4 linked regions of the Schizosaccharomyces pombe genome follow. The gene in region 1 interacts genetically with each later gene. Each region holds a gene or a part of one and is shown in the gene's direction. Other genes may lie near its edges.

What was found.
Region 2: mutations in nth1 (region 1) and hus1 together harm fitness more than expected from each alone (negative genetic interaction), as found in Schizosaccharomyces pombe (2 studies listed by BioGRID).
Region 3: of nth1 (region 1) and uve1, a mutation in one rescues a mutant of the other (synthetic rescue), as found in Schizosaccharomyces pombe (one study listed by BioGRID).
Region 4: mutations in nth1 (region 1) and rad1 together harm fitness more than expected from each alone (negative genetic interaction), as found in Schizosaccharomyces pombe (2 studies listed by BioGRID).

Annotation. Positions count from the first base shown.
Region 1 is NC_003424.3:1,104,775-1,110,583, reverse strand, and holds nth1 (DNA endonuclease III), read left to right. Parts: upstream 1-2,707; 5' UTR 2,708-2,743; coding exon 2,744-3,811; 3' UTR 3,812-4,054; downstream 4,055-5,809. Other genes in the region: AP-3 adaptor complex subunit Aps3, read left to right, coding at 291-467; transporter Hfl1, read right to left, coding at 474-1,529, 1,738-1,825, 1,881-2,017; Lsd1/2 complex PHD finger domain-containing protein Phf2, read right to left, coding at 4,055-4,331, 4,381-5,720. UniProt on the Schizosaccharomyces pombe protein: Bifunctional DNA N-glycosylase with associated apurinic/apyrimidinic (AP) lyase function that catalyzes the first step in base excision repair (BER), the primary repair pathway for the repair of oxidative DNA damage.
Region 2 is NC_003424.3:4,819,764-4,826,083, reverse strand, and holds hus1 (checkpoint clamp complex protein Hus1), read left to right. Parts: upstream 1-3,380; 5' UTR 3,381-3,505; coding exon 3,506-3,548; exon of another isoform or gene 3,549-3,596; coding exon 3,597-3,705; exon of another isoform or gene 3,706-3,770; coding exon 3,771-3,783; exon of another isoform or gene 3,784-3,837; coding exon 3,838-4,432; exon of another isoform or gene 4,433-4,489; coding exon 4,490-4,593; 3' UTR 4,594-5,097; downstream 5,098-6,320. Other genes in the region: adf1 (cofilin), read left to right, coding at 7-9, 61-166, 330-634; fmp40 (adenylyltransferase), read left to right, coding at 1,435-3,141; eIF2 alpha kinase Hri1, read left to right, coding at 5,711-6,320. UniProt on the Schizosaccharomyces pombe protein: Essential in controlling the S-M checkpoint that couples mitosis to the completion of DNA replication. It is also required for the response to DNA damage.
Region 3 is NC_003423.3:2,837,072-2,843,301, reverse strand, and holds uve1 (endonuclease Uve1), read left to right. Parts: upstream 1-3,716; coding exon 3,717-5,516; 3' UTR 5,517-5,730; downstream 5,731-6,230. Other genes in the region: SPOM_SPBC19C7.11 (ClC chloride channel), read right to left, coding at 26-161; integral nuclear inner membrane protein Bqt4, read right to left, coding at 891-915, 988-2,034, 2,081-2,134, 2,197-2,296, 2,336-2,367, 2,405-2,445; tRNA methyltransferase Ppm2, read left to right, coding at 5,919-6,230. UniProt on the Schizosaccharomyces pombe protein: Endonuclease for the repair of UV-irradiated DNA. Involved in the excision of cyclobutane pyrimidine dimers (CPD) and 6-4 pyrimidine pyrimidones (6-4PP) which forms the UV damage repair (UVDR) pathway. Also functions in oxidative damage repair in vivo.
Region 4 is NC_003424.3:4,975,432-4,981,692, forward strand, and holds rad1 (checkpoint clamp complex protein Rad1), read left to right. Parts: upstream 1-3,146; 5' UTR 3,147-3,187; coding exon 3,188-3,323; exon of another isoform or gene 3,324-3,449; coding exon 3,450-3,690; exon of another isoform or gene 3,691-3,733; coding exon 3,734-4,328; 3' UTR 4,329-4,707; downstream 4,708-6,261. Other genes in the region: SAGA complex histone acetyltransferase catalytic subunit Gcn5, read left to right, coding at 1-49; SPOM_SPAC1952.06C (uncharacterized protein), read right to left, coding at 315-2,009; SPOM_SPAC1952.08C (pyridoxamine 5'-phosphate oxidase), read right to left, coding at 4,708-5,055, 5,131-5,355; ach1 (acetyl-CoA hydrolase), read right to left, coding at 5,903-6,261. UniProt on the Schizosaccharomyces pombe protein: Recombinational reparation of DNA damages induced by UV and gamma radiation.

The DNA of each region.
Region 1 (5,809 bases):
GAGCATAACATTTATTTTTATCATTTATTGAACTTAGGAACTACAAGAGTTTAATTCCTAATTCCTTTACTTCTCATCGCCTTCAAGAAAGAAATTATGCATAGAACTGGAAGTAGAGTCTCATTGTCGATGATTCGCAATCTCCAATGAAAAAAAAGAGGAGGTGTTAGTAATAATTATCCAAATACAAGTGTATACGCCAAAAAAAAAGGATATTGAAGGAAGAAATAATTAGAAGAGTTGAAAGCCATCTGTTTGAAAGCGAATTAGAAAGATCTAACACAATATAGGTTTTTAAATTCCAAGAAATACATGCTATTCTTGCTGAGGTAGTATCTGGTGGTCTTGTCTTAGAGACAAATCTGAATGAAATTGTTTTGGCAGCTCAGAATCAAATGCCAAAAACCAAACGGTCCAATGCAATGCCATTCAGCAATACATTAAGTTCTTTTGCTACTAGGTTCTAGTGACTTTTATGTATATGAAGAAGATGCATGAGTATTGTTCACTAGAAGAACTGGATAATTATAATCACCATAACGCATCTGTTTCGCTTGATTGTATAATGGTTCCATTTCATCGTCTATTTCAAATTGGAGCCCATTTTCGAAATGTGAAGTTGACATCCCTGGGATAGAAAAGTAGGACTTATTTGATTGTGGAGAGTTTTGACTATTGTTAATGAGACGCACTCGAGATTGATCATATCGAGAAATCCAGTATTTCGATTGACCTCCCTGACTGTACCGAAGACCATGACTTGTTCTATTAATCCTTCCATCGTTTCTTGAAGGTATTAAGTTCTCCCCAGGCTCAAAATTTTGATATACATAACGATCTCCATGTAGAGTTTGCAAACTATCGCACCAGACGTCTTTCAACCCGATTACGTCTTTAAAGGCTTTAAGGAGCGGTAGTCTTGCACAAGACAGCCATGTGGGTGTATCGTAATCCTCGATTCGAAAAGCGTACCAATGTGAGAGGGCAAAAAAGGGCATTTCTAAACACATGAGAACGTTCTGATTTAGTAAGGAGTAAATCCAGCCTGTTCCATTTAAAAGTCCCAGCCAGTTTGTAATGGAAAGAACGGTTTGCTGCCAGTAAGAGGCAAATATAATAGCTTTAACGGAAAGGAATTTTGGGAAAGGGCGAAAAGGAGCGAGCTCTTCATGCAAGCAAACCCAAAAAGTTGTTAGTGAATATAAAGAAAGCGTAATTGAAATGTTATAAACAAGACCTATCCAAAGGTCTGCAGAAGCATAAACAGGTTGATCTTCTCTGTCGTAGACTCCGGTGACTTTTGTTAACAGCACGGCAATCACCAGAAATGGTTTAAGCCAAGTGTATTGTAAAATCCCACGTTTTATAGAAAGGAAGGTGTAAGGATCACTTAGGTCAATATCATCTTGCAAATAATTCAAGGGCCATAACCTAGGACGAGGCAGATGTCCATGCAAACTAATAACTGCAGCCCGTTCTCCGCCAAGATAATCAATTAATAAACAGAAAAAGCAATACAAAGCGAATGCCTAATTTATTGTTAGAAATTATTCCATTAAAACCTCAATTACGCCTCATTAACTAACTAAACTAGTAAACCAACATAGTACAACTCATAACAGCCAAACCACTCTTTCAGTCAACCCCTTTTCAAGCATTTTAAAACAAATCTGCAATATATTGATTGCCAAGGAAGGTACTTCATTCAATGGCAACGGCTAAATGAGAAAAACCTACCTCGTAAATTTCACGAAACGGTTCGAAAATACTTCCAATTTTTTCATTGTATACCGATAAAAACGATACAGAAGAGTAAATTACAATCCTAGCAAAGCATTAGTACATTTCTATATCAGTCAAAGAATTTCAATTTTACGAACATCATCAAAATTCGCACCACAGAACGCTGTAAGACTGGTTTTTTGTAATTTTTCAAATGAGTAATGATAGAAATACATGATAGCACTAAAGCAATGGCTACGAAGAAGCCGCATAATGCGACTATTTCGTTGTCCATGAAATTAGAGCTGATCGTGATGAAGGGACAAAAATGCAGGCAAGGTGGCTACCACAAGCTATAAGGGGGCCTTCTCCAATTCCAAACAGATACTACCTACTACGGGCTTTACGGTGTTTGTACGCATAAGCTATAGATAAAGTACCGAAACTTTGTGATGTGGAAGAGTTCATCGAAGCTAATATTGATTTACCTCTTTAGTATGGATATTGTTTTATAGCAAAAGTAAATTAATAATACTGTCTTACAGGATAATTTGCCCTATAGCTGTAGTACTGCTGTAAAAATCATTTGTTTCCATAATACTAGCAATTCGTGATCTTTAATTAATCTAATTTTTGTTTTTTTTTTAAACTCTACTTTCCTCCCTTCTGTATGATGGAGGACCTAAAGTAATGTCTCCCATAGCATTCTGATGATTCTTAAGCTGACTTTTTGAAAAAGAAGCAGTAAAATATAATGAGTGTTTGTTTCTTAATGCGTAGGAGAATTTCGCCTTGGCATATATATGGCTTAGTTAAAAAATTATTTCTTTTATAAAATTGAGAAACTCCAAGTCAGACTATTACCGCATTGTATTCAAAACAAATCACTTATAAATTTTAATATTTTTGCGCTCACCTGCGTTGTTTCTTGGATGTAATATCGCTAAAGTTCAGTAAATGAGTTGTTGAAGAAAATAAAATCTTTAGCCAAGACTGCAGACAAATTTGTATTTGTTAAGCAATGAGTAAAGACTACGGAACTCCTCCTGAGAACTGGAGGGAGGTTTACGATGAAATTTGTAAAATGAAAGCCAAGGTCGTAGCGCCTGTAGACGTTCAGGGTTGTCATACATTAGGAGAACGTAATGATCCAAAAAAATTTCGATTTCAAACACTGGTGGCATTGATGCTTTCTAGCCAAACAAAAGATATAGTACTGGGTCCTACCATGCGAAACTTAAAAGAAAAATTAGCTGGAGGACTTTGTTTAGAAGATATCCAAAATATTGATGAAGTTTCTCTAAATAAACTAATCGAGAAAGTTGGTTTTCATAACCGAAAAACCATTTATTTGAAACAAATGGCACGTATTTTATCAGAAAAGTTCCAAGGAGATATTCCGGACACCGTAGAAGACCTAATGACTCTCCCAGGTGTGGGGCCTAAAATGGGATATCTATGTATGAGTATTGCATGGAATAAAACTGTTGGAATTGGAGTAGATGTTCACGTACATCGTATATGTAATCTTCTTCATTGGTGTAATACGAAAACTGAAGAACAGACTAGAGCTGCTTTGCAAAGCTGGCTGCCTAAGGAATTATGGTTTGAGCTGAACCATACACTTGTCGGTTTTGGGCAAACAATCTGTTTACCAAGAGGAAGGCGCTGTGATATGTGTACTTTATCTTCTAAGGGCTTGTGTCCTAGCGCCTTTAAAGAAAAAAGTGGCATCACAATAACTAAGAGAAAAGTCAAAACGATTAAAAGAGTCAAAAAAAGACCTGCTTCTGAGTCACCTCCTCTATCTCCACTCTCCCTTCCTACAGATGATTTGTATTACCAAAGCATCGAAGATAAATCACTTATAAAACTTGAGGACTTGGACCCTGTTGATAGTATATCACACATGAATGAACCTTTGAAAAAAGAACCAGCCGCTGATATTGATGTAGATCAGAAGCCACCTGTCGCATTCCATTCAACTACAAAAGAAACTAGGTCACTGCGCAGGTCAAAGCGAGTTGCAAAAAAATCATCCCAGTATTTCTCCCAACAAAGTTTACAAGATATTGAAGATCTGGTTTAATTTATTTTTAGGACCGTAAATTTTGGACAACATAAATCTGTTATTTATTTACATGAATTACTCAAAATTATTTATTCTTTACAACTCCGTCTTTAAACATATTCAAGAACCTTTTGCTACTGACTGTATAGTTATAATATCCTCTACCTTTACTTTTTAATAATTTTTTTAAATCTTGGAATAAATTGAAATCATTAATGTTGTTATACCCTTCAACAAACAATGCAGAATGTAAGATACTCGTTAAATACTACTAAGAACAATTGGAGTTTCGTCGAACATATAATAAGTACAAAAGTTTTCGGTTAAATCCTCTGTGTGAGGCGTATACAGCATCCAATCGATAGGAATGGGGCCGGTTATAGATATGTCAGGGCGCACTGATGGTCGATCGGCATCAAACGTTCTGTTCAGTTCATAGCTGCTACCCCTCGCATCACGTAAAACACGGTTTTTACGGACCAGTCTGTTTAAGCTTCGAGTTATGTTCGAATTTTTAATTTTTCTATTCGAGTATTTACTAGAATATTAGTAATTGACGATGTCAGGAAAATATATAGAAAACTTACGCTTGAATAGTGTTAGTGATAGTAGAAAAAGAAACAGCAGCAGGGAAAGATTCTAAAACTTGTAAAACTATTTCATCTTCATTGCTATATTCTTGTAAGTATTCATCTATGGTAGGAATTTTTTCACTCTCCATGTATTGCTTATCCACTTCAACTGGTTCGGTCGAAGGTAAGGACGTCGAATGCTTGGTTGTTTTCGATTGTGATTCTGTTCCATTATTTAGACTTAGATACTGATCTCCCGTTACAGGTTCATTCATAGTAGCTGTAAAGGCAGACCTTTTGCTTTGGAGCTCTTGGACAATAGTGGAAGTTTTAGGACTATAGAACGGGATGTCGGGATGTAATTGCTCACAGAATAATAGGATGTCAACCAGTTGGGAGATCGGAAGACTTAAAAGATAAGACTTTTTCTCTTCCGAAGACAGATTTAGTTCTCGTGCCGTAGTTCCAGTTACGAGAGGCGCTTGCTTTTTTCTCCTAATGCAATCATCACAAAACCATTCTCCATTGGGGGAATCTAAAAGTTCATCAGAAATATAGGGTTCATGACAAAGTTGATGGAATGGAGTGTTACAACCATCACAGAAAACGATGCGATTTTTTGGTGGAGATTGAAGTCGTTGACAAACCGAACATTTCATAGCTAATGCGACCACAGGTCGACGACCTGGGCCACGTCGTCTAGTAGGTAATTTTACAAGGGGATCGAAATGATTAGGGCGATGCACTTTTCTTCCTGATTTTGTTTTGACACCTTCCAAATTAAATTGCTCTTCCCTACCATCTTCAGTAGAAAAGAGGGCGTCAGCGGTGTTGTCACGTTCAATAGCCAAACTGGCAGGCCATGATCTTTTCCGAGCAATGTTCATAGCAATTGACATAGGAGGTAATGGCGATGAACTTGCAGGAACATTTGGGGGTAACGCAGATTTTGTTTGGGAATCAGCACTTCTATGATGCGCATAATTAGATGAAGATGCGTCTTCAGTGAAAGGTGCCTGTTCGCTTTTTGCATCGGTTTCCTGATTTTTACTAGATTCTATTTCTTTAGCAACATCATCATTTTTGTACGAACCGAAAGCACCTGACTCCTTGTTTGGCTCGTGAAAGTGTTGGAACTGATTTTCCAAATGCATGTTTGAATTCACGTTAGGATTTTGTATATCCTGAAAGGCTTGATCTATTAGCACAGAGCCTCCATTTTGATTAGATTCCTCCCCCTCAAACATCGTTGGATGCAAATCATTGGGAAATCGACGACTACCGTCGAATTGAAAAGGATATGATGCCGCTTCAAAAGAACCGCCATCGTCGTCATAGTACGATGAATTCGGCATTAGGTTTTAAATCATTCATATGCTCATGTAAAAAACAAATGAAAAAATGAAGCAAATGGCAAAAAATGCGAATGTGTAAGTTCAACACG
Region 2 (6,320 bases), 3.7 Mb from region 1:
AATAATATGGTATGAAATATTTTTGTTAACTTTACATCGTGTTTATTTAACATACATTAGTCTTTTTCAGGTGTCAAAGTCTCTCCCGAATGCTTGGAAGCTTTCCAAGAGCTCAAGCTTGGAAAGTCACTCCGTTACGTAGTTTTCAAAATGAACGATACCAAGAGTAAGTGACGAAAACGATTTAGATGGAATTTGAGAAAGTCCAATATCCCTTTTTTTAAAAATAAATTTATTTATCTACATTGATATATATTTTATGTTTGTAATGTCTTTCTATGTCGTTTTTATAATTATGTGGAACCTTTCACTAATTTTTTTTTGTTTAGCTGAAATTGTTGTTGAAAAGAAGAGTACGGATAAGGACTTCGATACTTTCCTTGGTGACTTGCCTGAAAAGGATTGCCGTTATGCTATCTATGATTTTGAGTTCAATCTCGGAGAAGGTGTTCGTAACAAGATTATCTTTATTAGCTGGTCTCCTGATGTTGCTCCCATTAAATCTAAGATGGTTTACTCTTCTTCTAAAGATACTTTACGTCGCGCTTTTACTGGAATCGGTACTGACATCCAAGCAACTGATTTCTCCGAAGTTGCTTATGAGACAGTTCTTGAGAAGGTTACTCGTAAGTAAAACACTTTTGGTTACGATTTCTTGACTCATGCGTAATACGAAATGAAATTAAATAACTTCGTTTCGGTATGCAAACCGATCCTTCAACGCTCCTTAAATATCTTTTTCTATATATTTAGAACTATAAATACAAAGATTTAAGTGTACGTTGGTTTCCTGTTGATATTTAATTTGTCAATAGTATATCTACTTTAAAAAATTTGTCATGTGATAACGGATGAGTCGGTATATGAAAAACACTGCAAGTTATTTGCCAATGTAATTGACAAGCAATCATAGAGAAATTAGTTCTACGCAGTTTCCACCACTAGCTGAAATGTTTGAGTGCCTGGGTGCTTGCAGGTTTTTATTCATCTACTTCAAGTATGGTATAGTAAGTAAGCTTAGTTTTATTTTCTCAGTTCCGACTTTTTAATTCTGTAGATTTCATCTACCACTATTTAGTCATTGAAATTGTTACAAATATTCCTCTATATATAATGATTCTGCATTCCTAAAAATGCTAATTAACAAATTACGAAATCCAACGATCTACAAAGTAATGCCATTCCATATTAATATAACAATTGCTGTTCATTCGCTATCATTTTAAAATGATGTTTTCATTAGTTTGCTCATTGATCACATAGCATGTATTTTACCAGCTATTTTCAACGTACTAGTCTACTTGATCTGTTATTGATCAAATGTAAGTGAATTGCTGCTTTTATTGTTATTATAATCAATAAAGTAAGCAAATTTACACTGGGGCACAATCAAACATTGGTATGCAAAGAACATTAATTCGATATACCAATACGATGTCAAAAAAATTGAAGGATCTCCCTGTCAGCTCAACGTTCACATCAAATCTTCCGCCTGATCCACTGGTACCGACCGTACAGGCAATGAAAAAGGCTGATGACAGAATCTTACATGTTCCTCGATTTGTGGAAGGCGGCGGCTTATTTACTTATTTGACTCCATCACTAAAAGCCAATTCTCAATTATTAGCTTATAGCCCTTCGTCCGTGAAGTCATTAGGACTCGAAGAATCTGAAACTCAAACTGAAGCTTTTCAACAGCTTGTTGTCGGTTCTAACGTTGATGTCAATAAGTGTTGTCCTTGGGCGCAATGTTATGGAGGATACCAATTTGGGGATTGGGCAGGTCAGTTGGGTGATGGCCGCGTAGTATCCTTATGCGAACTTACCAACCCGGAAACTGGAAAACGCTTTGAGATTCAAGTCAAAGGCGCAGGAAGAACACCATACTCTCGATTTGCAGATGGAAAGGCTGTTTTAAGATCTAGCATTCGAGAATATTTATGTTGTGAAGCTTTATATGCTCTAGGCATTCCAACAACACAGGCTCTGGCAATTTCCAATCTTGAAGGTGTTGTAGCACAACGTGAGACTGTAGAGCCTTGCGCCGTTGTTTGCCGTATGGCCCCTTCTTGGATCAGAATTGGGACTTTCGATCTCCAGGGGATTAATAATCAAATTGAGTCTTTACGGAAATTAGCCGACTATTGTCTAAATTTCGTTTTAAAAGATGGATTTCATGGTGGAGATACTGGAAATCGCTACGAAAAACTTCTTCGAGATGTTGCATATCGAAATGCTAAAACTGTAGCCAAATGGCAAGCATATGGATTTATGAATGGTGTTTTGAATACTGATAATACCAGTATACTGGGACTATCAATTGATTATGGACCTTTTGGATTTTTAGATGTTTACAACCCATCTTTTACACCTAATCATGACGATGTATTTTTGCGATATTCATATCGCAACCAACCTGATATTATTATTTGGAATTTATCAAAATTAGCATCTGCTTTGGTTGAGTTAATTGGAGCTTGCGACAAAGTTGATGACTTGCAATATATGGAACAACTTCATAACTCTACTGATTTGTTAAAAAAGGCGTTTGCTTATACTTCTGAAGTTTTTGAAAAGATAGTAGAAGAGTATAAAAATATTGTCCAGAATGATTTCTATGATCTTATGTTCAAACGAGTGGGTCTTCCCTCTGACTCATCTAACAAAATTCTGATAACTGATTTGTTACAAATTTTGGAGGATTATGAATTGGATATGCCAAATTGTTTTTCCTTTCTTTCTAGAAACTCTCCCTCTTCAATGGAGAATGAAGAATATGCTGCAAAATTGATGCAAGCATGTATTTGTCTAAACCCGAATAATGAAAGAGTTAGAAATGAATCTGTCAAAGCTTTCACTAATTGGGTTGGTCGATATAGTGAAGCAACGAAAACTCAGGAAGATTCATCCCGATTAGCGAGCATGAAAAAAGTCAACCCACATTTTACTCTTAGAAATTGGGTTCTTGAAGAGGTGATTAAAGAAGCATACATCGGGAAATTTGAGCTTTTTAAAAAAGTGTGTAAAATGGCTGCCTGTCCGTTCGAAGATACTTGGGGGTTTTCCAAGGAAGAAGAGGATTATTTATGCTATAACACTACTCCCTCCAAAAGCCAAATTCAATGTTCCTGCTCTAGCTAGAACCCTTCTTACTTGCCATTTATTTTTTTAATGTAATTTAAAATTTAGGAATAGCTAATCGTATGAAATAAATGATACAACGAATAGGCTCTTGAGTATAATTTTTTTTAGACTCTAAGACTTTTGTAAATCTTTTTAAATTTTATTCATTAATTTTATTCCACTTGCCATTAAAATTTGCATTTGCTTAATAAAGATTGCGATGCAGTTGCTAATGCCCAGTTTGCTATTTCTTAGCTGGCTTTTACGCGTTCGTAGTTTTTTCGACCGAAAATTTATTATTGGTCGACTTTAACCTGCTAAACGCTTGAATAAACAAAATGCCAAAAAATCTCAATCTCATTAGTTAAATCAAAGACTGAAAATGAGATTTAAAACAAGGATTAGCAACTTGTACACGTTGACGCGTAAGTTGGAAAAGATCAGCAGAAAGTTCGTTTACTAATCAAATTTAGGTCTTGTTCAGGCGCTAGATAAAATTGGAAGATTTTGCTGGCTTCGTCTGATGCCTGAAACTGTAAATTTTGTGATAGTGCCAGATTTTAGGATGACTCAAGTTTGGTCGTAAGTGAAGATATTAAGCATTTAACGGTGAAAAAAATCACATTGTGAAACTAATAAAGAAACAGAGTTTTAGAAGTCGTATGATTAACTATCTTTTTCTATTTGATTGCCCTAACTAACGTAAACGGAAAGGAAACAATATTTGAGGACTATGTCGTCCAAAGCAATGCAGACAACGTGATAAATCTAGAAGTTCCTATAGATAATTTCTATAAAGCCTTACGATCAGCGGCCAACGCTAGTGATTCTACTGTTCGTCTATCCAAGAAGAATAACCAGCCATTACTTTCGTTGTCTACCACTTGGAGTGGAAGGGCGTTTGGTTCGAATATTGTGACTCATAATATACCTGTTCGAGTACTATCACAATCATACGTGTCAGTTATTAAGGAACCAACTGCTCCTGAACCAGACTGTCATATATTCCTTCCACAACTGAATTTTCTAAGACACGTCGTGGACAAATACAAGAGTCTTTCAGACCGTATTATAATGTCAGCCAACATGTCAGGCGAATTGCAGTTATCGGTAAACATACCTTCAGCTAGAGTAAGCACAAAATGGAAAGGATTAGAGAATCCAGAGTTAGATCCTAGTCAAGTCGAAGACATCAGTCGACATCCCTCTCAAACAAGGGCACCCGAAGAATTTGTTCACATGAGACTAGACAGCAAGGACTTAGTCAACATGTTAAAAATATCCAGTGTTGCAAAGCGTGTAATAGCGTGTATGTACTATGAGAGAATCCTTTTTATGACCACGAACTAACCTTTTTACATTACAGGTTTCTGTGAAGGACATGCGCTAGTACTTTATGTTTATATAACAGATCCAGAAGATGAACATACGGCTGTTTTAACATACTACATTAGTACCTATGTGGACTAAGGTTACTTCAATTTGTTTATGATTTGATTTAATTAACGAATAATTGTTATGAGTGACTAGCCACATTTTTAATGTACATTAAAATGAAAAGAGATTAATCAACATCTACCATGCTTATACTTATTTTCTCTCTCTTCCTTTATCGATCTTACCGTTCTTTTTTATTTATTTTATACAGTTGTTGTAATCTCGGCAACTCAGTGTTTTACTATTCCGTTGATATCTCTTAAAAGGATAACACCAAAAAGAAATATAATGTTCAAGTCACAGAAAATCTGTTGATAAAATCCATATGTTTTCACGTTTTCAATGAGAGATACATACGATTAAACACAAACGTATGTTTTCAAGCAATTAACTTGAATATGAATAAACCTTGGTTCATCTTTCTTTAATCTTTTAGACAAGCAACTGTTCAGAAATCTATAAAGTCTCAATTGAACATTTAAGTGCTCAATGGGAAATATATACTTAATAAAAATTGAATATTTTAATCGTTTTTTTGAGAAGATATATGCCATTGACTGTAGCTTCTATTAATTTCCGCCTATTCTTTCTTGTACTTTGGAGGCATCGCTATACATTTTACGTAGAAGTGATGAAAATGGCGAGTTCCTCTTTAAAAGTGCGAAAATTTCAGGCTGTCTGTCATCGGAATTGACTATGTTCGATAGTTATTCCTCCTCCGATGCAGTCGGCTACACATGTAAACTGTACCAACATTCAGTACGAAAGGGGCTGAACGTTGTTACCTAGAAAAGTTGGTATCGCAATAGAGGTAACGATAGTGAAAATCCCACAATAACTTAAATATGGAGAGGTATCCGGGGAAATCCGCTACATAAACAACACATATACAGACATATAAATTGACTTAAACGTACCTTCTTTCTATAATAGTTTTACCGTTCCTTAATTGCAAATTCTTTCTTGTTTTCATAGATAGCATTGTTACTATTATTGTTATATATTCAATATAGACTGATAATTAGGATTGTACATTTCGTTTCATTTAGAGAAAAAAAAAAGGAATAATTTTCATGTTTTAAATTACTCATCTTATTCAATTCTTCTTTCTCTTTTCTTATTTGCTTTGATTTGATTCATTCACACAAGAATGCTCGGCACTTCTACTAAATGTTCGAAAAGGGATTGCAACTATGCCAAGGAAAATATCAGTCGGATTATGCCGACAATTGGTCTCGGTTACAAACAGAATTTCGAAAAAAAAACCGCGGATACTCAAAGTTCCTGCAAGTTGCTTCTCGTTGCGTTGTTAGAAAGCTTTTGTAAGCATTCTGATCAAACTCCAGAGCAATCGAAGCAAATGTTTTTATATGTTGCTCATTCGCTTCAAAATTCAGGTATCATAGATTTTGAGTTCTCCGAGGAGCTTGAACCAATTCGTAATGCTTATGCCGATTCTCTTCATAACCTCTTATCTAAAGCTTTTCGGAGTACCTTACCCATGAGCTCTACTAAGGATTCTAAGAAATCGAGGTATTCCAGCCCTGATGGCGTTTTGGCGAAAACTGCTTCCTTCTTGAGCGTATTGAGTGATGGTGGATACGAAGACGATGTGATGAATGTCAAGCCTTCAGTAAACGTATTGTCTAATAGGTTAAATCATTTACCAGTTGAAGCATTGGAATCTTGCTTTCCACAAACCACTTTGGAGTCCTCCACGTTTGCTGATTTTTGTGAGCACAAAGATGGAACCGGTAACT
Region 3 (6,230 bases), on another chromosome or scaffold:
GCTTTCGAAGCTTGAAAAACCATACCGTCCGTTTCAAAATTATCAATACCGGAACCTTCTCTATTAAAAAAATATTTTTTTTTCCTTTCATTTTCATCCAAAGATCGACGTTCCGCCTGATCAAAAGAACTTGAGGAATCTGCTCTCTTTTGAGAGGACATTGATGATATAATCTAATGTGGAGAATATCAGAATTGAAGAAAATGCTCTTGTTTTTCTCCTTTGTATATCAAAAATTGATCACTAGCATTTATTATTGTATGGTAGGCAAATCGCAAGCATTAATTGCACTTTTCCAAAACTTTGTCCTCAACCTTGAATATAGTATGTTAAGGGTGTAAACCGAGCGAATTTTATTACTTATGAAGTAAGAAATATTGAAGTTGGAATATAAACAATGCACATTTGTAATATCTTCATAGTAAAAGAAGATTCTATTTTCGACTCTCTTTAGTTTTCTATAGTAGTTAGTTATTCGTTAGTCGTACAAATGTTACTTTTTGCTATTTTGCTAGATAAGTTTAAAATAGGAAAATTTAATGAAACAAAACTAAAGCAAAGTACAGTAATCAATATAACTTGGAAAAATCACATTCCGCAATAAATTGGAAACAATACACTTCCCAGGACTAAAACAACTTCATATAAGTGATAAAACATTAAGATAACCAAATAGTGCACTAGAATCAATCGGAAATTAAGTTATTTCAGCCCTAAATCAATCTGAAGCAGGTCTCCAATCCCAAATCATAATCGAAAGTAAGTAAAAAGTCATCAAGTCAATTGATTTTCACATTAAACACGAAAAACTACATCAACAAATTAAAGCACATATGTCACATTAAATTCTAACATCCAGTAGTTTCAAAATGGTAAAGGGCCCTATTAAATTAAAATAGAAAAGGTAAAATTGCGCTGCGAAAGATAGTTAGTAAATGATTTTAAATCCAGGGAAAAGACCAATTATCACAATCATTGAATACTTACCCTACACCCAAACCAATAGCAATACCACCAAGTGCTCTGACTTTCCGCTTTTCATAGTAAACTTCGCTTTCCAGTTTGGTGATACGCGACCTTTTCACAGGTACCATAGCATTGTAATCCTCGTTTTCCTCAAAATCCTCTCTACTTCTCTTCTTTGACTTTGGAGAGGATCGAATGGAAGATTTCAAAGTATCCCCAATGCTCTTTTCCAAATTCTCGAACTTCTTTTCCAACTTTCCGACAGGTTTTCTTACTTGGCTTGCAACACCAGTTACACCTTTGTTAACTTGATTAGCGACACCATTCATGCCTTTGTTGACCTGGCTTGCAACACCATTCACGCCCTTGTTAACTTGACTGGCAACATCGGTCATGCCTCTGTTAACTTGACTGGCAACGTCAGTCATGCCCTTATTGACACTTGACCTAATCTTTCCAAGAAGAGAAGGCTTGATAGGTGTCTTAATCTTTCTATCTTGGATATCAGATGTTTTTTCCTCCTCCTCAGAGGGTTGATCTTTAGAGGTTGATCCTTTTGCTTTATCATCCGAAGAAGAGGGTTGACCTACTTTTTCAGTAGAACTACCGCCTTCCTGCTTCTTGATTTCTGGCTCTTTCTTCTCAGACTTAATTTCATCCTTCGTTTCATTCTCTTCGGAATGTATTTCCTTGTCTTCTTCTTTATTATCATGTTGGAGGATTGTCTTTTTGGAATTCTCCAGATGTTCAGCAAGACGCTGACGTGTGCGCCTAGCAACAGAAGTGGTAGTGGCAGATGTCGAAGATTCAGGTTCCCCCTCAGATGTCTCTGATTTCTGCGCAGTGGGGCGTGAAGGAGTCGCATAAGTTGAAGGAGTGGAGGATGCCTCTAACAAGGCGTTAATAAACGGGGTCATGCTGTAGTCTTTGGCAAGAGCCAAGGCATCTGCAGGAGGCACCCATAGTCCAGCAACACGTTTGTCTTCAATTGGGTTTAAATTATCACGAATCCATCTCATTTCCAAGTCTTCTTCTTCTTGGGTAGCCTTAGGGAAAGCTGAACGAAACCTAATCGGGTTTAGATTTTTAGAAAAAGATATGAAAAAACGCTTACATTGACGTAGCACTAATGCTTGAATCCTTTGCCATCCTCATAAGAAAGTGAGGTCTATATTTATATACATCATTAGTATTTTTCCAAAAACAACACTGCAAAAAAAAGATAATTACACTTTAGATTCCGGATTTGTACACTTGAGACGAACAAAAGTAGCTGGTCCATCAGGAAATTCTATTACCTGAGCGCGACACTTTGGGATTAATGGTGTATCTGCTATATTAGTTTCACGTAATTTCGGGAAGCGCGTACGGTCAAGTGTATCGTCTTTATAGAGAGGGTTTCTAATATCAATTAGTCGTTTTCTTTAAATATACGAACCTTTCAGCAGGTAAAGACCTGCTTTTCTCATTCTCAGTCATGGTATTCAATTAAGGGGAAAGGTAACAATTAATCGCCGTCGTCGACGTTTGTATAATTCCTCTCTTACAACGTTTATGTAATAGCTGATTGTATAGAGCAATAGTGGTGCTACCTTAAATGATAATATCGAGTGATGCTAGGACGTACTTCGTTATAAACTATGTGCAAAGCAAGAATTACTAATTCTTTAAACACCTCGAGGTCATGTATAGTCGATGCTTATGCTGAAATGTAATGTTAATATTGTTTATTTGAAGATTCAATGTGGTTCCAATTTTTTACGCTTTTCTGTTGGGATACAAACTTAAGGAAAATATTCACACGCGGGCAGCACGCTGCCAAATGTTAAATATAAGAAGCGCTGATCATTTATTTCTGCTAGAAGTTTGTTTTGTCAATCGATCAGCCAGGTCGGCAAAAACGATGCGGCAGTAAGAAGCGTTCTTCATGCTACTGGTTGTAATAGTATTTGCAGAAAAAACCAATCGTTTCGCTGATGCAGCTATCTACGGTTCTAAAGATATACTGTATTTTATCGTAAACAATTCGCTTCGTTTACTCTACCTACATTGCGATTTCGCAATGATGGCTTCTCAACCAACTCATTAATGCTGATGGTATTAAATCTATTGTGAATTACACGGTAATTGTTTGTATATTTTTAAAGATGTCCATGTCAGCAGAAAGCAGCATTAAGACGGTTCATAATACAATATAAATGACCCGAATCCGCCTACTTCTGCTTCCCATACACACATATGCTACAGATGGTAAAATAAATTGTCGCGACTCCTTGACTTGGCCAAATTTTCATTTCAAATGTTTTTTCCTATCTGCTGTTTTTTTGATTGTTCAACTGAATCTGCAATTATTAAAGAGAAAGCAACACAATCTTTTTACTTAACATTGTATTGCTAAACTAAGCTCGATTTGAGAAACCAAAATTTCCTCGTAAAAGCAGTCCTATCTACACTGAACAATAACTGTCAAAAGTTGAATCCCTTGAGCATCAGTAATCTCATGGCCTTCCAATAAAATCATAGCGAATTTTGACGTAACAATGATACAAAACCATTTTTGGTTTACTGGGAATGAAAGAAGATTTGTCTTCACACTCGTTGATTTTGACTAGTATTGAGTCTCAATCACTTCTTGTCGATATCTCTTTTCACTTACAAGATAATAGTTGTAGGGATATAAGCAAGTTTGCGAAGGGCTTATTTCCTTCTAAATAATGTCATATTGATACTAAAATCGTTTTCATTTTTTAATGCTTAGGCTATTGAAACGAAATATTCAAATCTCTAAACGCATTGTTTTCACCATATTAAAACAAAAGGCATTTAAAGGTAATCATCCTTGTGTACCGTCGGTTTGTACCATTACTTACTCTCGTTTTCATTGTTTACCCGATACCCTTAAAAGTTTACTTCCAATGAGCTCAAAAACCACACTCTCAATGTTACCGCAAGTTAATATCGGTGCGAATTCATTCTCTGCCGAAACACCAGTCGACTTAAAAAAAGAAAATGAGACTGAGTTAGCTAATATCAGTGGACCTCACAAAAAAAGTACTTCTACGTCTACACGAAAGAGGGCACGTAGCAGTAAAAAGAAAGCGACAGATTCTGTTTCCGATAAAATTGATGAGTCTGTTGCGTCCTATGATTCTTCAACTCATCTTAGGCGATCGTCGAGATCAAAAAAACCGGTCAACTACAATTCCTCGTCAGAATCCGAATCGGAGGAGCAAATTAGTAAAGCTACTAAAAAAGTTAAACAAAAAGAGGAAGAGGAGTATGTTGAAGAAGTCGACGAAAAGTCTCTTAAAAATGAAAGTAGCTCTGACGAGTTCGAACCGGTTGTGCCGGAACAGTTGGAAACTCCAATTTCTAAACGAAGACGGTCTCGTTCTTCTGCAAAAAATTTAGAAAAAGAATCTACAATGAATCTTGATGATCATGCTCCACGAGAGATGTTTGATTGTTTGGACAAACCCATACCCTGGCGAGGACGATTGGGGTATGCTTGTTTGAATACTATTTTAAGGTCAATGAAGGAGAGGGTTTTTTGTTCACGCACCTGCCGAATTACAACCATTCAACGTGATGGGCTCGAAAGTGTCAAGCAGCTAGGTACGCAAAATGTTTTAGATTTAATCAAATTGGTTGAGTGGAATCACAACTTTGGCATTCACTTCATGAGAGTGAGTTCTGATTTATTTCCTTTCGCAAGCCATGCAAAGTATGGATATACCCTTGAATTTGCACAATCTCATCTCGAGGAGGTGGGCAAGCTGGCAAATAAATATAATCATCGATTGACTATGCATCCTGGTCAGTACACCCAGATAGCCTCTCCACGAGAAGTCGTAGTTGATTCGGCAATACGTGATTTGGCTTATCATGATGAAATTCTCAGTCGTATGAAGTTGAATGAACAATTAAATAAAGACGCTGTTTTAATTATTCACCTTGGTGGTACCTTTGAAGGAAAAAAAGAAACATTGGATAGGTTTCGTAAAAATTATCAACGCTTGTCTGATTCGGTTAAAGCTCGTTTAGTTTTAGAAAACGATGATGTTTCTTGGTCAGTTCAAGATTTATTACCTTTATGCCAAGAACTTAATATTCCTCTAGTTTTGGATTGGCATCATCACAACATAGTGCCAGGAACGCTTCGTGAAGGAAGTTTAGATTTAATGCCATTAATCCCAACTATTCGAGAAACCTGGACAAGAAAGGGAATTACACAGAAGCAACATTACTCAGAATCGGCTGATCCAACGGCGATTTCTGGGATGAAACGACGTGCTCACTCTGATAGGGTGTTTGACTTTCCACCGTGTGATCCTACAATGGATCTAATGATAGAAGCTAAGGAAAAGGAACAGGCTGTATTTGAATTGTGTAGACGTTATGAGTTACAAAATCCACCATGTCCTCTTGAAATTATGGGGCCTGAATACGATCAAACTCGAGATGGATATTATCCGCCCGGAGCTGAAAAGCGTTTAACTGCAAGAAAAAGGCGTAGTAGAAAAGAAGAAGTAGAAGAGGATGAAAAATAAAAATCCGTCATACTTTTTGATTTATGGCATAATTTAGCCATCTGCATTTTCAATGCAATCATTTTTGTCTTTTTGGCTCTAGATATTTCCGAAAAAATTCACTAGAGTACTATTTATTTTCTTATTTGCTTACTGTCCATGCTAATATTTAATCTAAAAGTTATTGTTTTATTTACAATCAAATTTCAATAAAACATTTCAATTAAATATAAAATTTAAACTAGTAATTTACGATTTACACGAATTATGTAAAACTTTAAGCAATTCCGGTCATATTGGTATTGTCGTTTTCTGATCAATATTATAATTCCTTTCCACTAATCTTCGTAAGCTTGTGTAACTTAACTGCAAAAATTCTCAAGGCTTCGAAAGATTAAATGAGCTTCTCTTTATTCATATACAATGTCAAACAAAAATCAAAGGAAAACTAAGTCAAAAGATAGAGAAGTTCGTAAAACCAATGACAGCTCAATTCTTTCAAAAGCCTCAGTTGAAAAATGTGGATATCCAGGTTTTACCGTAGGACATTCTTATTATCAACCGTTTATACAGAAATCACCTAGAAGATCGCCAAGCGTAAATAGAGGTTATTGGACACGATGCATGGCTATTCGATTTGCAGTGTACCAGTTTTTGAAGAATAAAACCGGCAAAAGAAAGGCAATAGTGAATTTAGGTGCAGGATACGACCCCTTAGCCTTTCAACTTTTAAGT
Region 4 (6,261 bases), 3.9 Mb from region 1:
TTTCCAGAAAAAACTTCGTGAAACTGAGTATTCACACTTAGCCGATTAATCATTTACATTTATTATCATCGAAACGTCTATTCCGAAGTTTTATTGATTATAACATATACATTTCACCTTTTAATTTTTTACACGAATATCTTTTGTGCCTTCCAAATATGCTGGCATATCAAGAACTGCTAGTGTTTAATTTTTAGTTTTTTTGTTTAAAAATATATATAATTCTATAATACCAAACACTCTTTATGTTCCATAATAACAAATGTACAACTCATTAAATTGAAAATATGTTATCAGAACAAGTCATGATTTTATTACACAGATGCTTGCATAGATCCAAGTAAAACAGTAACCATAGGTTTTTCGTCAATTCTGTAGTAAGAGTCGTTGGCCTCCACCTCTTCGGACTCCACCGTCGGTTCTTCAAGGTTTTCATGATAATTTTTTAGAGCATCAGTCAACTCATCAATTGGAATGGATGCTTCGGAAAACAGCATCTTAATTTTTTTCAATGTCACTGTATTTTCAACGCATAACCACGAAAGGATAAGAACTGTAGATTGGAAAGGAAACAGTCCATGATCAATTTGTTGGAGAAACCATTTGGTACTCTTTTCCTCCGAATCAGGACTAAAATCAAGTTTTCTGCTTTGGTCAATACCTTTGAGTTGGATTCTCAAGCGATCGTAAATTTTGAAAAGGCGTTTCATTTTTTCAAAGTCATTTTCAATGAATTTCCGTAAAAAGCGCACCCTTTCTACGGTGTCAGCAGGTAAAGATCGAAATAAAGATGCCAGAATAGCTAATATATGTTCCAGAGTATCGGCTGCAGATATTTTCATAAACGCAGCAAAAATATATTTCAAACCGCCTGCTTCTACAAATCGAATACAATAAGGAGTGGAAAGAGGCCCAAATAAAAGATAGTCCAAAACTTTGATTGTAGAATAACGGCTTTTTCCTTTATGTTTCATATTTAGTATGCATAATTCAATACCTTCCTCTTTTAGAAAAAGGGATTTTCCTTTCGTTTCTTGAACCAGACTACATAAGCAATCAAACACGTTTTCCATCATTTCTTCTTCTGATCCTTGGGTTGGATCACGAAGCCTATAAGGACTGATCCGGCGCAACAAAAGATCAATCCCATTCAAGTTGCACACTTTCAATTTAGCTTCTTTTGAATTAGCGAGAATGATAGCTAAAATTTCAACAGCGTACTGCAAATTAGTTGATATAGAAGTTTCATCAACAGACGATCTACTCAGTAACCATTCTACCAATGTTGTGTTTTCAACTATTATTGAACAAATGCTATTGTCCACAGATAATAAATTCTCCATAAGAGAGAGCACACAATATACTCCATGTCGGTCTTCCTCATTAGATTCGTCAAACCTTTTGATTGTATTTGAAAGCAAAGGAAGCAAACCAGAATCTATAAGGGAAGTAAATAAGGAGTTTAATGCGTCTGGGTCAACATCCTCGTCAGTCAGTTCTATCAATAGCTCCAATACCGTAATAGTAATATCCGCATTTTCATGGTTCATTAATTCTAAAAACGTGGAAACACAATCTAATTTAAGGAAAATGGGTATGAGGATAGGATACTCTGAAAGCACATTGAAGCTTCGAATTTCCAGATCAAGATCTGCCTCTGATTCTATAAACCTTTGAGGAGAAGTAGAATACTTGATGCGTAACTCCTGATTATTATTAATTGTTTTTTCAAGTCGTACTACCATGCGCTTCAATTCAGTAGGAGTCAATGAAGCAGGTTCTTCCTGGGCTTCCTGTTCGTCTAAAAAGTCTAAAACGGTTTTTTCACTCTTTTTAAGCCCACTTCCAAAAAATCTACCTCCTTCCTCGTCAAATTCTTCATTCTCCTCATCGCTATTCTCTTCAGCGAGTCTTCTGCGACTACTAGCTGGCTCCAAAGAGTCTGCTTCCTCAGGGTTCCTTTTCTTATTTGTTTCCTCGGTATTTTTAAAAATTGAATCTACATCCATTTAGAATAATGTATTTTTTATGCGCCAGTTTCCTTTTCAAATTGAATATATGAAAACCGTCTGATACAAAATAAATAATTTTGACAAACTTATATTTTATAGCCGCATCAAGTAAAATAAAAGCCTTATGAAAAGACTATCGTGCAATTCAATTATAACGCCTGACTCGTTCCTAAAATTCCTCTCGTTTACCAGTTCAAGTAAAAGCTAGGTAAGATGTAGGCATGTACAAAGTGTATCAAAAGTGAAAACCAGAATCTAAGCTTGGAAAAAAATAATAACAGCAAGTAAATTCCCCTCTGTTTTATAAATATTATACAACTCTTATATCCAAGAAAGGAGAGATTGGAAGAAGGATAAAAAGTGTTTATTTAAGAGAAGAGAAGCTAAATAAAGTGCATGCAGTTAACTCGAAATTTTTTAGGTTGATTAAATAAGGAAGAAATTAGATCCATCTTGTATTACCTTTCTTTTAATTGTAGCAATGACTTTTCAAAAGAGGGTGTAAAAATGACATCCTAACTGTATATATGATAAAATTACAATTATGGATTTTCTAAAGCAATTTAAATTTAGCTATTATCACTAAAACAGTTCGGCAATTTGCAATATTTGTCTAATAAATGAACCATTTGTTTCATAAACAATCAAATTCATTAAGCTACAAATCCTTAATTGTATCTTTAGTTTTGAGTCAATCAACTTACTGGGATCCTATAGCTTTTTTGAATATCATTTGGTAAATTCAAATATGGCTCTTAAAACTTGTATTTAATTTGATAAAATTTCTGTGTCGAGAGATAAATAAATAAAGACAGTTAGAAGTAGATGCTATTCAATTAATAAATAAAATACTCGTCTATTAAGCTTTACGGCTTTCCAAAAATTTATATATCAGAATAAAATATTTCACAATTTTTTTTTTTTTAAAAAAGAAAAAGCAATCTCAATTTTCATTTCCTTTAGTAATCTGCATACCTTTTAAAATTGTGCACCTTTTCGAATTTTACTAAATAACTTCTAACTTGAACTGTCTTTCTTATTCTGCGTTTGGTCTTGTAATCAAGTGTCAAGTCCTTTAATATCAGAAGGAAAAATTATCAATTTATAAGATTAGCATTTACGGGTGTTCAAGTTGTAGCATATAACCAATTTTTTATTGTTGGACGTAAATTCGCATGTTTCAAGCAGAAACAGTATGCTTAAAGCAGATTCAGTCAACATTACGATGCATTGATTTTTCAAAGGAATGTACTATCGAAATCACAAGTCGTGGACTACGGTTTGCAGTGGAGGAATCGCAGTCTTTGCAGGGTAAGACAAGTCGAGTCTCACATCTATGATCGTTAAAAAATTTGAAGCTACTTAATAAAGTTTCATATATTAATGCGATTCTTGAAATGCATTCACTTTTTCTTTATTGTTCACTCACACATTAAGCTCACGCCTTTCTTGATAAGTCGTTGTTTCAAACGTTTAATTTTCAGGGTGATTCAGATGGGGATACATATATGTTCCAGACGATGATTTCACCTCTTTTACAATCATTATCAATTTATACAGATGGAAAAGAACGGATTTCAACTAGTGCCTGGGATCAACCCACTGTAAACATAATGCACAAACGAGGCGTTATCTGCAAAGTACAGTATAATGGACCCGGCTGTCCATTTATATGGGAGTAAGGATTTTATCATTAACATTCTGTACTGACAAAAATAAAGAGTAGAGGAAATGGCTGGTTATGCTACGGCTTGTGAACTGTTGACTATGGAATGTGAGGACGACGTTGACATCAATAGACTTGCAAGCACATTGTGCACGAAGATCATTATGAAAAGTAACTGGCTATATGATGCCTTGGTGGAATTAGACAATAACATGGGCGAAAATTTAATTATTCATACATCATCCCAAAAATCAACCTTCTTATTGAGATGTGTAGGGGCATTATCCACTACGGAAATAGAATATCCAAACGAGAAAAGTGTTTTAGAGTCTTTTGAAACTGATTCTGAAAACACTTATTCCTACCGCTTCTCATTAATAAGACATGCGCTGAAAGCATTACAAGTGGGTTCTAAAGTAAACCTACGTATTGATGAAAATGGAACTTTGAGCATTCAAATCATGCTTGTCGGTCAAGAAGGGCTTTGTACGTTTGTAGACTTTTGTATTGTTCCTTTGGACCTTGTAAGTGAAGATGAGGAGGAGGATGAAGAAGAAGAACCAGCAGAATCTAATCAGTCGGACAATAACGTTTTACGAAACGATCCGAATTATCGAGGAGATGCGGAGACCGAGGATGAGGATAGCTAAATGATAATTTTAGCACTCAGCACTTTAGTGTTTCCGATAACTTCAAAAAAAGAAAAAGGTACAATTGATACTGAACAACTTATGATAATACACTTATTCAACGAATCATGATTTATTTCCCTGCTTTTTGTTTGGTCTTATTTAGGTAGCTTAAAGTCACACCGTTTCCTCACTTTTTCTATGCTTATTTAACACACGTATAAACAAGACGCTTTCCACTAGGCTGTCTAGCAAAGCATGTAGCCAACAAAATTCCCATGTATCATACACACGATTATACATTATGGTTAGATCTACGAAGCATTCAAAAATTCTTCAAACATTATTGATTTTTAAAAAATAGAAAATGCAAAGTGACACTCATAAAACATTTGTTTACTCAAAATGGAGTCTCATCTCCTCTTGCATTCCATTTTTGGACGTTGTTGAGTCTCTGATCACAAATTCTCGCACTTTCCAACTTTATCTTGATAATTCTCATATCCTCACCCTCCACGTATTGTTTCGTATTACCCTTGTCATTAGTGTTTAAATGCTTTTCTCTAAAGAATTCCTCTTCTTTGCTATTCTTTGGAAGAACGGTAGCAAGGCCATTCAAGGTCACTGATGTATTCGAGAACTGAGCCTGATTCATTTTATAAAGTAAGGTGTACAATGAGGAGGCATCAGGATCTGTTTCTTGACGATTAGTGGTCCAGTCATGAACTAGTAATGATACTCGAGGATTCTAGTCATCATGTTAGAAAAAAGAAAATACCAATCAGGATCAAGGATAAGTTAAACTTTTAAATATGATACATACCGAACTGATGTTAAAATATTTTTTACTGTTTTCTCCTGTTGACAAAATAATGCAATCCTCCACTTCGTAAGGGGCAGCGCTTCCTGCAGGTAAATAGGTAAATGTCATCAAAGAAGAGTGAGGCTGATCATGAAAGCAAGTAGCTAGTTGAATATATTTGGATGAGGACAAGCATCTCTTGATTTGGCTGGGGAACTCATGAGATGAATCGACTTTTGAGGCCATATTTACTTTCAGGTTATTGTGGTGCGACAAAGATTATAATTTGCAGAATAAATACTGGTGAATGGAAACTATTGATCCAGACAAAACTGTACGATAATTTCTATACTTGATTATCCTTTCCTAAATTTTGGTGGTACTCCTCTCTGAGTAAGCAGGTTTGATACTAGGTTAATAGCAGAAATGCTGACTCACAACTCAACGTAATATAGAGGTATGTACTAAACAGCCAACTTACGAATTTTGCAGGGGAACTAAAGATTAATAATCTTCAAAGGAATACTGCTCATAAAATAAACGCGCTCATTTCTGTGTATCTTGGAAAATTCATACGCATTATGATTGTTGGATTTACTTACTCAAAACTAATTTCCTTAACTTATAAACACTAATTTTAGTATACGGATTTTTTTTATTTCGTAAATTAAATTAATGTAAAAATGAAATACATTAAGTCATAACAGCACGAAGAAGCTGTATTTTAGTCGTAACAAGGTTTTGGAAAACCCTTAGAAAGAGTAAAAGTGGCTATAACAACTGATAACTAAATTTACCAATGATCGATCTTCATCGTTCCTTTTTCTAAAAGGTTGAGCTGCATCTTGAAAGCATTGGCAAGAATATGGGGTTCATGACCAGCTCCTCTAGCTAAACAGTAGTTTTCGGCAATATCGAAATACTCTCTGAGCAGAGGCTTATAGTCAGGATGAGCACACTTGTCAATAACCTCACGAGCACGTTCGGTAGGAGACAAGCCTCGTAAATCAGCCAATCCTTGCTCTGTAACCAAAATATCCAAATCATGTTCGGTTTGGTCAACATGGGTAGCCATAGGAACAATACAAGTGATACCAGTAGGATCCTTCTTCGAAGGACGAACCGATGGTGTATGCATAATACTTAATTTCG